Lonchura striata: one gene and its partner. The protein of the gene in region 1 interacts with the protein of each later gene in a pairwise test. Links are inferred from orthologs where the notes say so. Each region holds a gene or a part of one and is shown on either strand. Other genes may lie near its edges.

Region 1 (5,690 bases):
TGGAATCCAGGTGTCCTCTGAGGAAAGGGGACAGAAGCTTGAGGACACCAGGGACAGGGGCAATTCAGACTAGTCCTATCTCTACCCGTGGTCTGATGATGCCGCTGCTGCCAGCACCCCTGAGTCACCAGGCACCCTCCCCACACCCTCTGCTTCGTCTGAAGCGTGGCTACAGCAGAGCCAGAGCTGGGGACACGTGTGGCACCAGGGCAGGCAGGATTGCCCAGAGGACTCCCTTGTCCTGGGGCACAACCAGTATCAGGCTGCACAGGGCTGAGGGTCCCCGTGCCAAGAGCCAGGTGGGTGCTTTGGGAAACCCCTCCCGGATCAGCCAAACAGGCAGTGGGAAAATCCCTCTGGAAACTTTCCCAAGACAAGAGCAGTTGGCCAGGAGCAGAGGGGTGGCAGGGGGCAGAGGGCAGGCAGCCCAGCTCTTCTCAGACCCTCCTCCACCCGTGCAGCTCTCGCACTCATGCACTGGTACTGGTTAGACTGGTCTCCTGTTTGCACAGCTTGTCCCCCTGCAGCCAGCAGCTCTTTCCCCACCCCAGACAGAGCACCCAGCGCCCGGGGCCGTGTCACATCATGCCCTGGCACCCCGGCCCCCCACCCTCCCTCTGTGCTGCCGAGACAACCCCTGCACCGGGCAGCGGCGATGCTGTGGGCGCTGATAACGCGGCCCCGGGCGCCTGCCCTGCGGGAGATACCCGGCGCTTCTCGGGGCCGACGGGCACAGCGAGAGGCGCAGAGGGCTGCGGTTACTCATTAGCCAAAGTCTCACCGTGTCAAGGACAGTGAAGCGGCCCCAGGGCTGGCCCAAGGGCTCAGGGTGGGCGGGGAGAGCCGGCAGCGCGGGCACATCCCTGCCCAAGGGGATGGCAGGGAGCAGAGCAGTGTCACAACGGGGCCCTCCTGGTCCCGCCAGCACCTCTGACCCCTCCGCAGGGTTGGGCTCGTGGCTGCCCCATTCCCTCATGCCCTAAAGACTCGGACACCCCAGTCAAAGTGAGCCCAAGGAGCAGCATCGCAGCTCAGCAGCCGACTGTGCTGCTCTCTGAGCAGCCCTGGCACAACGAGCAGGTCCCCGGGGACACAAGATGAGCTGCAGCCTCCTTGCAAGGGTTTAGGGGTTGGGGAGCAGCCCTCATGCCGCGCCCTAGGAAGAGGAGACAAACCAGAGGCAGGAATGAACAGCAGCGGCTTCCCCCGCATCTCCGCTCTTCCATCGCAGCGCCCGTGACTCACAGATGACTCAACACGGAAACACCCCTGTCCCCCCGAGCACCTACTGCTCTCCAAAACCCTTCTCTCGGGCACAAGCTGCTCTCCGGGAACCCCCGCGAGTCCCAGCACTCTTTCAGGGCATTTGTCAGCGCCCGGGAACAAGCGCAGCAGCTCCCGGAGCGCGGCCGGTCGCAGGGAAAAATTCCACATCCGTTTTCCCCACGGCTGGCTCCACAGCGCAGCCAGCTCCCCTCCTGCCACGGCTGCGGGCCGCGCATTTTTTCCAGCCCTCGAAAGATCGTGGCCAAGATAGTTCTGGGTTTGCACAAGGTAGAAAAAAAGCCTTTAGACAGCTCAGCTCCTCCTCTCACCAGCATCCCGATCCCCGGGATCCGGGAGCGGGGATCTGGCGAGCAGCAAACCGCCTTATCGGAGAACGAAACTGCCGCAGCGCACGGGAAATAGAAAGCTAAATATAACCCCACACGGCTTTCGGATACGGCTCTAACAGGCAGCACAGTCCCTCCCTCCCAGGTAGAATATTTATGGCATCTGCTAAGGAAGTTAATTTTAGCCTCATTTGGTACAGGCTCAAAACGAGGAGTCCAGAATAAGAGGCAAGAGATCAAACGGAACAAGAGGGGGCTGTTCCCGCCGCTGCCCAGCCCGAACACGGCTGCGAGCCAAAGCTGATGACGGAAAGGGATCGGCTCGCTCCTTCCTTGGAGCAGCCTTCGGGAACTGAGCGCCGCAGGGACACGTCCCGACGCTGCACGGGCTGGCAGAGCCCAGGGGAAGCCCAGGGCCAGCCCCTGCTTGGCCAGCAGTGCCACCGGCCAGGGAGCCCCGTGTCCTCAGGGGACCTGGGCTGGTAACCGGTGACAGCCCTGAGGAGGGCAGAGGAACCCAGAGGCAGCAGGGAAGGGTCCACGAAGGCAGGGAGGGAAAGAAACGAGCCCGATGGGCAGCGGCTGGAGGAATTCGTGCCTCAATGGGAGCACATCACCCAGTGACAGCTGGTGGGAGGGGGACACGAGTGCTACCCGCACACTTCTTCCCCCAAAGCCAGGGACCCCACAGAGTGGGAGCAGCTTGGCACAGGGAGGGTTAAAGCAAACAAAACCTGGAGCAGGTTCTTTAACCGGTGCCAAAGACAGCAAAGGAAAATAGGACGAGCAGGCGAAATCCGTAGGCAGGACAGAGCCAGCTGGCTGGCACGGCTTCCCGGGCTGTGCCGGAGCGTGTTTAGGAATAGCTCCAGCATGACGAAGGCAGAGGGGCCGCCAGCCCGGCGCTCCCGGCCCGCATAGCACCGACCCTGCCGGGGGCCCAGGGCATGTCTGCTCAGCCCCTGCCCCAGGCGTGCCCAGCTCCGCTCCCAAATCCCCGCTCCAAGGGCATCCCGGCCAAAGATGGCGCTTGGAAGGAGAGCAGGAATGACGAGAGAGCTTCTCTCCTCTTTTGGTCCCTACCACAGACACTCCAGCCCCGGCCAGGCCACGGATTTTTCCTCTCTCTCCCTGGCTCCTCCAGGTCGCTCCTTCCTCCCTCCCGGCTCCCTGCCAAGCATGACGACAGCACCCGTCCCGCCGCAGTCCCCGCCATCCCCAGGGCACTCACCGGGCTTTCAGCTCCTTGTGCTCCTCCCGCACTTTACTGAGCTCCAGCTGCAGCCGAGCTCTCTCCTTGGCCACCGAATCCAAGGTCTTGCGGGCATCCGCCAGCTCCGACTCGTAGGCAGCCTTGATGCCCGAGACCTCGCGGCTCACCACCTCCTCGGACTCGGTGATGCGGAGCCGCAGCCCGGCGTTCTCCAGCTCCAGCGAGCGCACCTTGTCGATGTACACGGCCAAGCGGTCATTGAGCTCCTGCAGGTCCTCCTTCTCCTGCAGCCGGGTGATGCGTGTGGGGGACAAGGGGGTCCCCGAAGCCCCGCTGCGGGTGCTCCTCTTCTGCGAAGGCGTCGCCATGGGGTCCGGCGTCGAGGCGAGGGGCACGGCTCAGGTCACGGCGCGATGTCCCACGCCACCCGCCCAGCTGTCGCGGCAGCTCCCGGCGTCTGAGTGACTTGCTTATATCCCAGCTGGGCTGTTCACTGGGAGGAGGAGCTGAGAGGCGGCGGCGGGTGGAGTTATCCAAAAGCTGGGTGGAGACAAGTCGCATCAGTCCCAGCCCTTCCTTAGGAAAGGCTGGGAAAATATCTCTGGGTAGAGGGGCCTTGGGAGGGCGTCTCTGGGGACACAGTCCGGGGAAACCCCTTTGCAGGCTTTTCTGGGGCGATTCCCTCGACAAAGGCTGCATCGCAGACTGGGAGTGACAGGGAAAAGGAGGGGGCTGCAGGGAGGAGGAGCAGCCAGGCACCCCCAGGACCCTTGGGCGGAGCACTTCCAGGACATTGCTGTCCCATAGGACAGGGCAGGGCATGGGGGGTCCTGGCACACCCTGAATGCAGGAGCCACAGGCTGCACAGGACCCCGAGGTACCTGAAACTCTGGGATCCAAGGACCCAAATGCAGTCCTGAAACACCCTGGTCTGGGTTCCCCTGAATCCTGAGGCATCACACACAAAGAGCACTGAGGCACTAAAGAATGCCACCACCCACCTACCCACTTCCCTGCACTGCTTTTGCCCAGTTCTCTCAGCACTGGTATTCCCCATTTCCCAGCTCTCCTCAGTGCCAGCTGTGCCAGTTTGTAGCTCCCCAAATTCTGAGCACCAGTTGAGCTCACGTCCCAATTCCCTGACTGTTTCCTGTTCTCCTGCCTCCCAGCCCCCTCCAGTCCCACTCAACCACCCTTCCAGTATGGCCAGCTCCCAGCAGGGGGGATTCCCAGTCCTCCCAGCAGGTGCGGGGTGCTCTGTCTCCCTCAAAACGCTACCGAGACACAGACAGCTCATGATTTCCAGATCTGCCAAATGCTTCCAGGCACTCCCAGCGCTACCAGAGGGGGGATGTCCCCTCCTTGGACTTCATTCCCCCTCCCTGCATTGTGCTCTGGAGCCAAACCCTCCCGTGTGTGAGAAATGGGAATAAAATGACAATGGGAGTGGAAAAGCAACGCTTTTACACCCTAGAAATGAGGGGGAGGCGGGGGTCCTGGGGGGAGATCCACCTTCCTCCGTGTGAGCTCCTCCTTGGAAAGTCGGGCTCTGCAGAAAGGAAAGACGGGAAGGCAGCTGCACCTCGAAGCTGGGGACGCTGGCGAGAGCCGGAGCACCCCAAAGCACAACCTCCCCCAGGCATTCCCTGCGAGCAGAGGGGTCCAAGGTCAAGGGCACAGCCACGCCGAGCCGCCTCCGGAGCCGCGGCCGCCCGGCTCCTCCTGTCCGCGCTGCAATCCAAGCTCGCTTTGCTGCTCCGCTCGGGGCTGAGGATGACTCACACAGCAACGGAGCAACACACGCAAACACGCAGAGCACACACAGGACACGCGTGTGCGCTCTCCGGCAGTGATTAACCCGCCCGCAGCCGCGCTGCCGGGGAAAGGACCCGGCCACAATCCGGGGGCACTTTCAAAAGGCAACAGCTCAAAGCCGGGAATTGCCCCGGCACCACGTCAAAGATGGGAGGGGAAAGGGGGGAAATGGGGGGTGTCAGCTGGGCACAGCCATCCTGGCACTGCCACAGGGAGGGGTTGGGGGTGAGATTCCCCCTCCTTCCCCACCGTGGCTCGCAGGGAAACTCTCTCTGCTTGGAGAAGCCCCCTGACTGCTGTAGGCATTTCTGTGCCACCACTCACTCAGCACTGGTCTCCCTGCGTCTCCAGGGGGGTCTGCGCTCCTTCACGCCATTCCTTTGTTCAGTGCCACACAAATTCCTCCTTCCCTGCCTCCTCGCCTGTCCCAACACCTTTCCTCCCTCCTCCCACGCGCATTGCCCGTTCCCTGGTGGGGGGACCCCGCAGCCCTGGGGGCACCCAGCGTGTCACGCCCAGGGCAGGCGAGAGCGGGCAGGAAGGCGCTGTGGCCGGGCCACGGGGCTGGCAGCAGCCGGGGACGGCGGGCACGGCCCCGAGGAACGGCGGGCACGGCCCCGAGGGCGGCGGGCAGGGCGGAGGGCGGGCCCGGCGCGCTCCGGGACGCGCGGAGCGCCCGCCCTGCGCGGCTCCGCGCTGTTTTCTTTCAAACCCCGAGCCCTGGCTGGGAGGGAAAGCCAAAGGCCGTTTCGCCCGAGGGTGCTCTCCAAGCAGGAGGTGCCTGCCTGCGTCCGGGGCATCCGCGGGGGCACTGACCTTGGAGCGTTTTCCTTGGAGCGTCACGAACGGCAGGGCTAAAGCTGACTTGCCTTAATGTGGGAAATGGCATCCAGGGTAAAGGCAGGGAGGGACAGGCTTGGGCAACAGCTGGAAATCACAGCTAAGGGTCACTGGCACAGCCTGTCGCTGCTGATCTGGCACTCCTGGCTCCTCGTGCTGCCCCCAAAGCTCCTGCTGTGAACGGGAGCCCGGCTCAGAATCCCACCCTT
Region 2 (5,690 bases), on another chromosome or scaffold:
AGGCCCTTCAGGTCCAGATGTTCTCATCCTACCTTCATTAACAGGAGACATCAGACTGATCTTTTTCATATAATCACTTTAAAGGTAAAAAAAAAATCCCTCAATATATTCATTAGAAATGATTCTTCCAAGACATTAAATGCACAGCAAGCTGAGTCTTAATAATCTATGCATTCTAAGCTCTGAACAGTTCCTGTTTGACAACAGCATCATGCCAATATTTTTGGTACATGCTTTAAAATAATGGTCCTAGAGAGGAAAAAATGTAATTTCATAGTTACTTTTCCTGTGAGCTATCTTTGCTGACATTCAGCTCATAACTAACCAGGACAAGGGGCATTCAGAAGCAGATGGTTCACCCTGAAGCAATAGTGTCTTGTGTAGCTAGTCACTGTCCTCAGATACCACTATGCCAAACAGGCTTAAGGGAAAAAAGCAAAAAAGTTGGTCAAAAACATTAGTAGAGCTGGAGAAGCTGGCTTCTCCCAACAATATTATCAGATTGAGGCACAAACAGGTGTGATTTTAAAAGCCTTTCCTGTTCTGGTAGGAATATATAGCCAAAGTGAGCCATATATTCTTGGGCTGGATAGAGCTAAGATGGAAGAGTGACAGAATCAAAACATAATTTGCAACATAATTGAAACGATGGGATTTTGTCTCTGTACAGCTTTTATCAATAGAAAATAAGCACCTGAACGCATTATCAAATGCTCAGAACTTAGAAAAATGCCACTAAAATGACAGTGTAGACAGTTCAAAATTCCTAATGACTACAGCCATGTCGAAACTCCAATGCCAGCATTAAGAGACCCGGTACAGCTTTCAGGGACTGCAGCGTGGGTATTCAGCTTGCCTGCAGGCGTTGCTCACACCCGCCGTAAGACAAGCGCTGCCTGCCCCCGCTCAGGACGCCTCGGAGCGCGCCCCCTGGCGCCCGGCCCCGCCCGGCCCCACCCTCCGGCCGCTCCGCGCACGCGAGGCCGGCAACCCAAGGCGGCTGCGGGCTCCGAGAGGCCAGGCGCTGTTTGCTCCTAATAAAGCCAGGGGCGAGCGGGCCCAGAGAGGGGCGGGGGAGGCCCGTTCTTTTACTTCATTCCGCCTTTCCATCACTGCTTGCAGTTCCAGCTTCCCACCCTTGTCCCTTATTTCTAACTTCTTACAAATGTCAGTGCTGTCCCTCCTATCCTCTCTTAAACTCACCAAGATATTTTGCTTTGGTTTTTCACCAGAATCCCAGTCCCCTGGGATGTCCCTCGCTCTTCCTCTTCTTTTCAATTGTTCTGGGGGCAAATTATTCTGGAGACACCTGTGCTAATCTTTTTGAACGACAGCTGATCACAGAAGTACCCTTATGCCAAAAGACATTAACAGGGACAAGTTACTCAGGCTACAAGTAGTTGCAGAACTATTCAAGTGGCACAAAGAAGAAAACAAGCACAGATCATCCAAGTTTGTTTTACTTGGCAGGTATTGTTTGGGATTTTTCTGAGTGTTTCGGTTGGGGTTGGTTGTTGTACCGAGGGGAAGGCGACACAACACAGGGCACAACGGACCCAAATCTGAGCAGCTCTCACTAGATTATTTGCCGAAATTCTGGAACTTCTGATGATACAGTGCTCTGATACTAAAACACAAGCATAAATAACACAGAGCCTTCCAGATATTGTCAACAAAAGTGTAGGAGAACCACCCATTCTGTAAACATCAAAAAACTCACTCACAATTGTTTGAACTTAAGCCCTCTTGAAAGGAAAACTCCTATCTAGGAGAGGAACTAGCAGTTCTGATATGTTCCTCCTCCAGCAAGCATGAAACAAGTCAGATTCAAGCTCATCATGTTTTACTCAAAAGCAGCTTATGAATGCTATCAGCAGACCACTCTAAGTCAGAGAAATATCTGTTTCACTGTAACTGCATTCAGTAAATGCCAAGTAAGTGTCTGAAATAGACAGAAATAAGGTAAATAACTTGGTTTTAGAGAGCTCTTCCTCTTGAAGTTACAGTTTTCGACTTTTTAGTTTAAGAACTGCTCTCTTAGAAAGTTAAAGCGTGAAAGACCTTCAAAGGACTCCGTTTCTCAGCACGCCCTCAACTAATGACCTTTGAAACACAGTATCTAAGACACAATTAAATAGTTTCACTATCACACACATTAGGACTCCGGAAGCTGATAATCATTATCCAAGGCTTTTCTCGAGATTAGACATCTTACAACACCAATTACAAGATTGCATTCTCAATATATGCAAATTTATAGTACACTTATGAAAAATTAAGAAAAAAATCACATTTTCCCAAAGAGGAAAAACTTCAAATGCCATCAGCTTTCCCTCTTTCATCACACGCGTAAAGTCTAAGAAAACAAGCACAGTGGACGAACAGAACAGGCACCAGAGGCGCTTTGCTGTAATACACATCTTAGAGGTACGAGCAAGACGTCTACATTAAGCAGACCCTCTTTACACTAAACAGTCCACATCATTAAGCGAAACAAACTAGCTGTTACCGCGCAGCTTCATCTTTCATTTAGAGGCATTTACACCGACCAGCGCTGCTGCCGTACAACCGTACAACAAGCGGACCGGAGTCCTTTCCTGAGCAAGCTGCAACCTCGTACAGCTCTCTTGCTTCGCTCCTCCAACACAGCAATAGTCTACTTAGGACAGCGCTCGCCAAGCTACAGCAAAGGTTTCCCAGTTTACAGTCTGGGGGCTGTTTGCACGCTCCACGCGCGCTGGCGCTGCCTTGCCCCGCAGCTCCAAGGGGCGCTCCGGGCGGGACGCATCCTGGAGGAGCAGCCCGCGGCCCCCGGCACCGACCCGCCGTCCCAACTCGTCCCCGGTGCGGGGCGGCCGCCCCGCTGCCCCGCTCCCCCAGGCGGAGGGAGCGTCCCGGCCGGGCGCGATCCCGCCCGCGGCCGAGCCGGACGCTCTCCCGGCCCCGTGCGGGGACCCCGGCGCGCCGCGCCCCGGCGGGCGGGCGGGGCGGCCGGCCCCGTTCGGGCGGGAAAGCGGGCCCGAGGCTGCCGGGAAGCCGAGGCGGCGCGGGCAGGAGCAGCGGTACTCACCCGCCCGGCGGCAGCAGCTCCGCGGCTCCGGGCGCCGAGCGGTGTGGGCTCCCGCTCCTCGTCGCTGGAAAAGTCGGGCTGCGCGAGGGCGGGCGGGTTGCGGGCGGTGAGGTGCTGCAGGTAGAGCTGCACGTACACGTCCTTGCGCTGCTCGCCGCCCGGGAGGCTCACATTGTTAGCGATCAGCTCGCTCTTCAGCTTCTCCTTGGTCAGCACCGACGGATCCGCCAGGAACTCGGGCATCGCCGCCGGCCGCAGCCGCCACCGCCGCTCTCCCGGGAGAGGCACCAACAAAGCGCGGGGAGAAGGGGCGGGGGAGCGGCAGGAGGAGGAGGAGGAGGACTCGCCTGCTCCGCGCCAGGGACCAGCTCCACAGCGGGCGGGCGCGCGCACCGAGCGCTTCTTCCCAGCCAGCAATAAGCGGCGCCCTGATTGGTGGGGAGAGCAACGAAGCGGCCCCGCTATTGGCCGGCGGGCGGAGAGGGGGCGGGCGGCGCGGGAGCCGCGGCGTTGGTGCTTTGCGCGAGGGACAGTAACGCAGTTTAAATTCGGCTCGGGCGGGAGCGGCGCGCGGGGCGGCGCTCGCGGGCGCCGGCAGGGCGGGGGAGCCGCCGGGGCCCCCTCGGGTGACAGGTGTGTCCCCGCCCCGGGAGCGCCCCTCCCTGCCGCGGGGCAGGCGTGAGCGCCATCCCCGTTACCTGCCGCGATCCCGGCGTCCTGCCGCCACACCTGCCGCCTCCTCTGCCCCGGAGGCACCTGCGGCCTTGGCAGAGCGGCTCGGCAGCTCTTTCCCCCGGGACAGCCGCCCAACCCTTTGGCTAGCGGGCTCCAGAAGAAATCCAGCCGGGAAATCAGTAGCTAATCTGTTTGTGTGACTGCCGCCGTTGCGGTGGCTTAAACGCAAACCCCGAACTCGCAGCTACAGTACCGCAGAGTTTGAAAAGCGCTCAGTCGTTTTATTTATCCGTTTGTGAAGTCGACTAATAAAATGTCGCAAGTGTGCTCCTGCTGGAGAAGTTCGATTAAGTTCAACACTGCAGTCTTACAGTCTTTAAACAAGTGGGTTAAATTCTTCTGTGTTTTACCTGCTGCTTGCTGGGAACACGCACTGCTTCTGTTTTATGATGGGAAAGGTTTAGTGTTTAGATTTGACTACATGTCCTATGCTTTTGAGAACCACCTTACAGTATACCAAAAATAAGAATTTAGATGTAGCTATTTCAATTTCTCCATCAGTCATGGATCTGAAATGGGATTGTTGGTGTTTGCACCTACTCTCCTTTGTATTCCAGAAAGAGTTGTAAGTTGCTGTTAGGAAAAGGGATTTCCACTACTGTTGTGTGCTCCGTCAAGAAGCTCTCGTGGTGCCTGTTGCTCCTATTTACCTTACCATAGCTCAGTATCAGTTAGATGAAGGTGATGAGGATTATTTTTTCTGGTAGGTAATTTCGAGACAGATCAAGGACCCACCCACAGGAAGCTTGACACTTCCCACTGAAGAATTGGTGTGATGTAACAAAATAATTAAGAGGAGGGAGAAGCTTAGCTTGGGACATTTAATTTACTTCGTTGTGCTAGTAGCTCTGTGAGGTGGCAGTCATGTGAAGTTCTTTATTATTTGGATCTGAAAGTGCTTGGTTCCTGGTGTACATACTTAACCTGTTCAGTTAGGCAACGAGACTGAACAGTGGGTAGAAACATCTTCCTCCATTAATACCACACATGCACACAGTAAAAAGTAATGAATCAACATGGATTGACTACTATCATTTACTTTTAAGCTTGACTAGAACAAATTAGATGGTTCTATATATATTTTCAGCTATTTTACCCAACAATTTACCAGGTACATGGGCATTACATGACAGGTGTTTTAAAAATACTTAAAGGAAATTTAATTCCTGTTCAAATTTGATAGTGCTAACTTAAAGCATAGTATTTTTCACCCTGAAAAGCTTTTAGGTGGCTTGGGAAATAGTCTTTCATCTACCTTTAAGAATTTGCTTCTTTTCCAGATATGGAACAAGTTGCACAATATACTTTAGAGAGATCCTTCAGTTATCATACTAATGTAAAAAATAACAACTTTAACTCATATCAAGTCTAAAATTATTTAAAGCAGCATAAGGGATAACTGGGTCTGGGAAATTTCAGTCAAAGTTAATAGTGAAAATACAATCTAAAAAGTTGGTGTAGTCACCATGTAACATCCCCAAAGAGAATAATAGTAGGATAGCCCTGAAGCTTGTTTTTTGACAGTCCTTCTTAGTGCAGGCACCATTCACAACTTGCTGTACTGTTCAGATCCTGCAATACAGCTGGTGCTGGCTTTTCTTGTGAGTGCCAGTTCAGGAATGGAAGGAAGTACAACCACTGAGCTTGAATACATTGATGGCAGACCTGGTTTTAATGCATTAAGTGTAGCATAAAAAACCCCTACAGGAATACAGCACAAAATAGTAAATCCCTACAATTACACTCACAGTTCAGCTTTGGTCATAACAAATGGATAGGCTGACTTGTCTTATCTTGGTTCTGTGTTTTTCTGCTTTTGCTGTCAGATGAAACTGGCATAGGAGCATCAAGATAGCAGCTTATCATATGTTTTGGCTATTGTTCA

The links. The genes of interacting proteins can lie anywhere in the genome.
Region 2: the proteins of LMNA (region 1) and TMPO interact in a two-hybrid assay, tested with the Homo sapiens proteins (2 studies listed by BioGRID, with this or other methods). The link is inferred for Lonchura striata from reciprocal best matches to the Homo sapiens genes LMNA and TMPO.

What each region holds. Positions count from the first base shown.
Region 1 is NC_134635.1:1,183,743-1,189,432, forward strand, and holds the start of LMNA (lamin), read right to left. Parts: upstream 3,327-5,690; 5' UTR 3,195-3,326; coding exon 2,845-3,194; intron 1-2,844.
Region 2 is NC_134607.1:55,415,764-55,421,453, reverse strand, and holds the start of TMPO (thymopoietin), read right to left. Parts: upstream 3,473-5,690; 5' UTR 3,314-3,472; coding exon 3,071-3,313; intron 1-3,070. UniProt on the Homo sapiens protein: May help direct the assembly of the nuclear lamina and thereby help maintain the structural organization of the nuclear envelope. Possible receptor for attachment of lamin filaments to the inner nuclear membrane.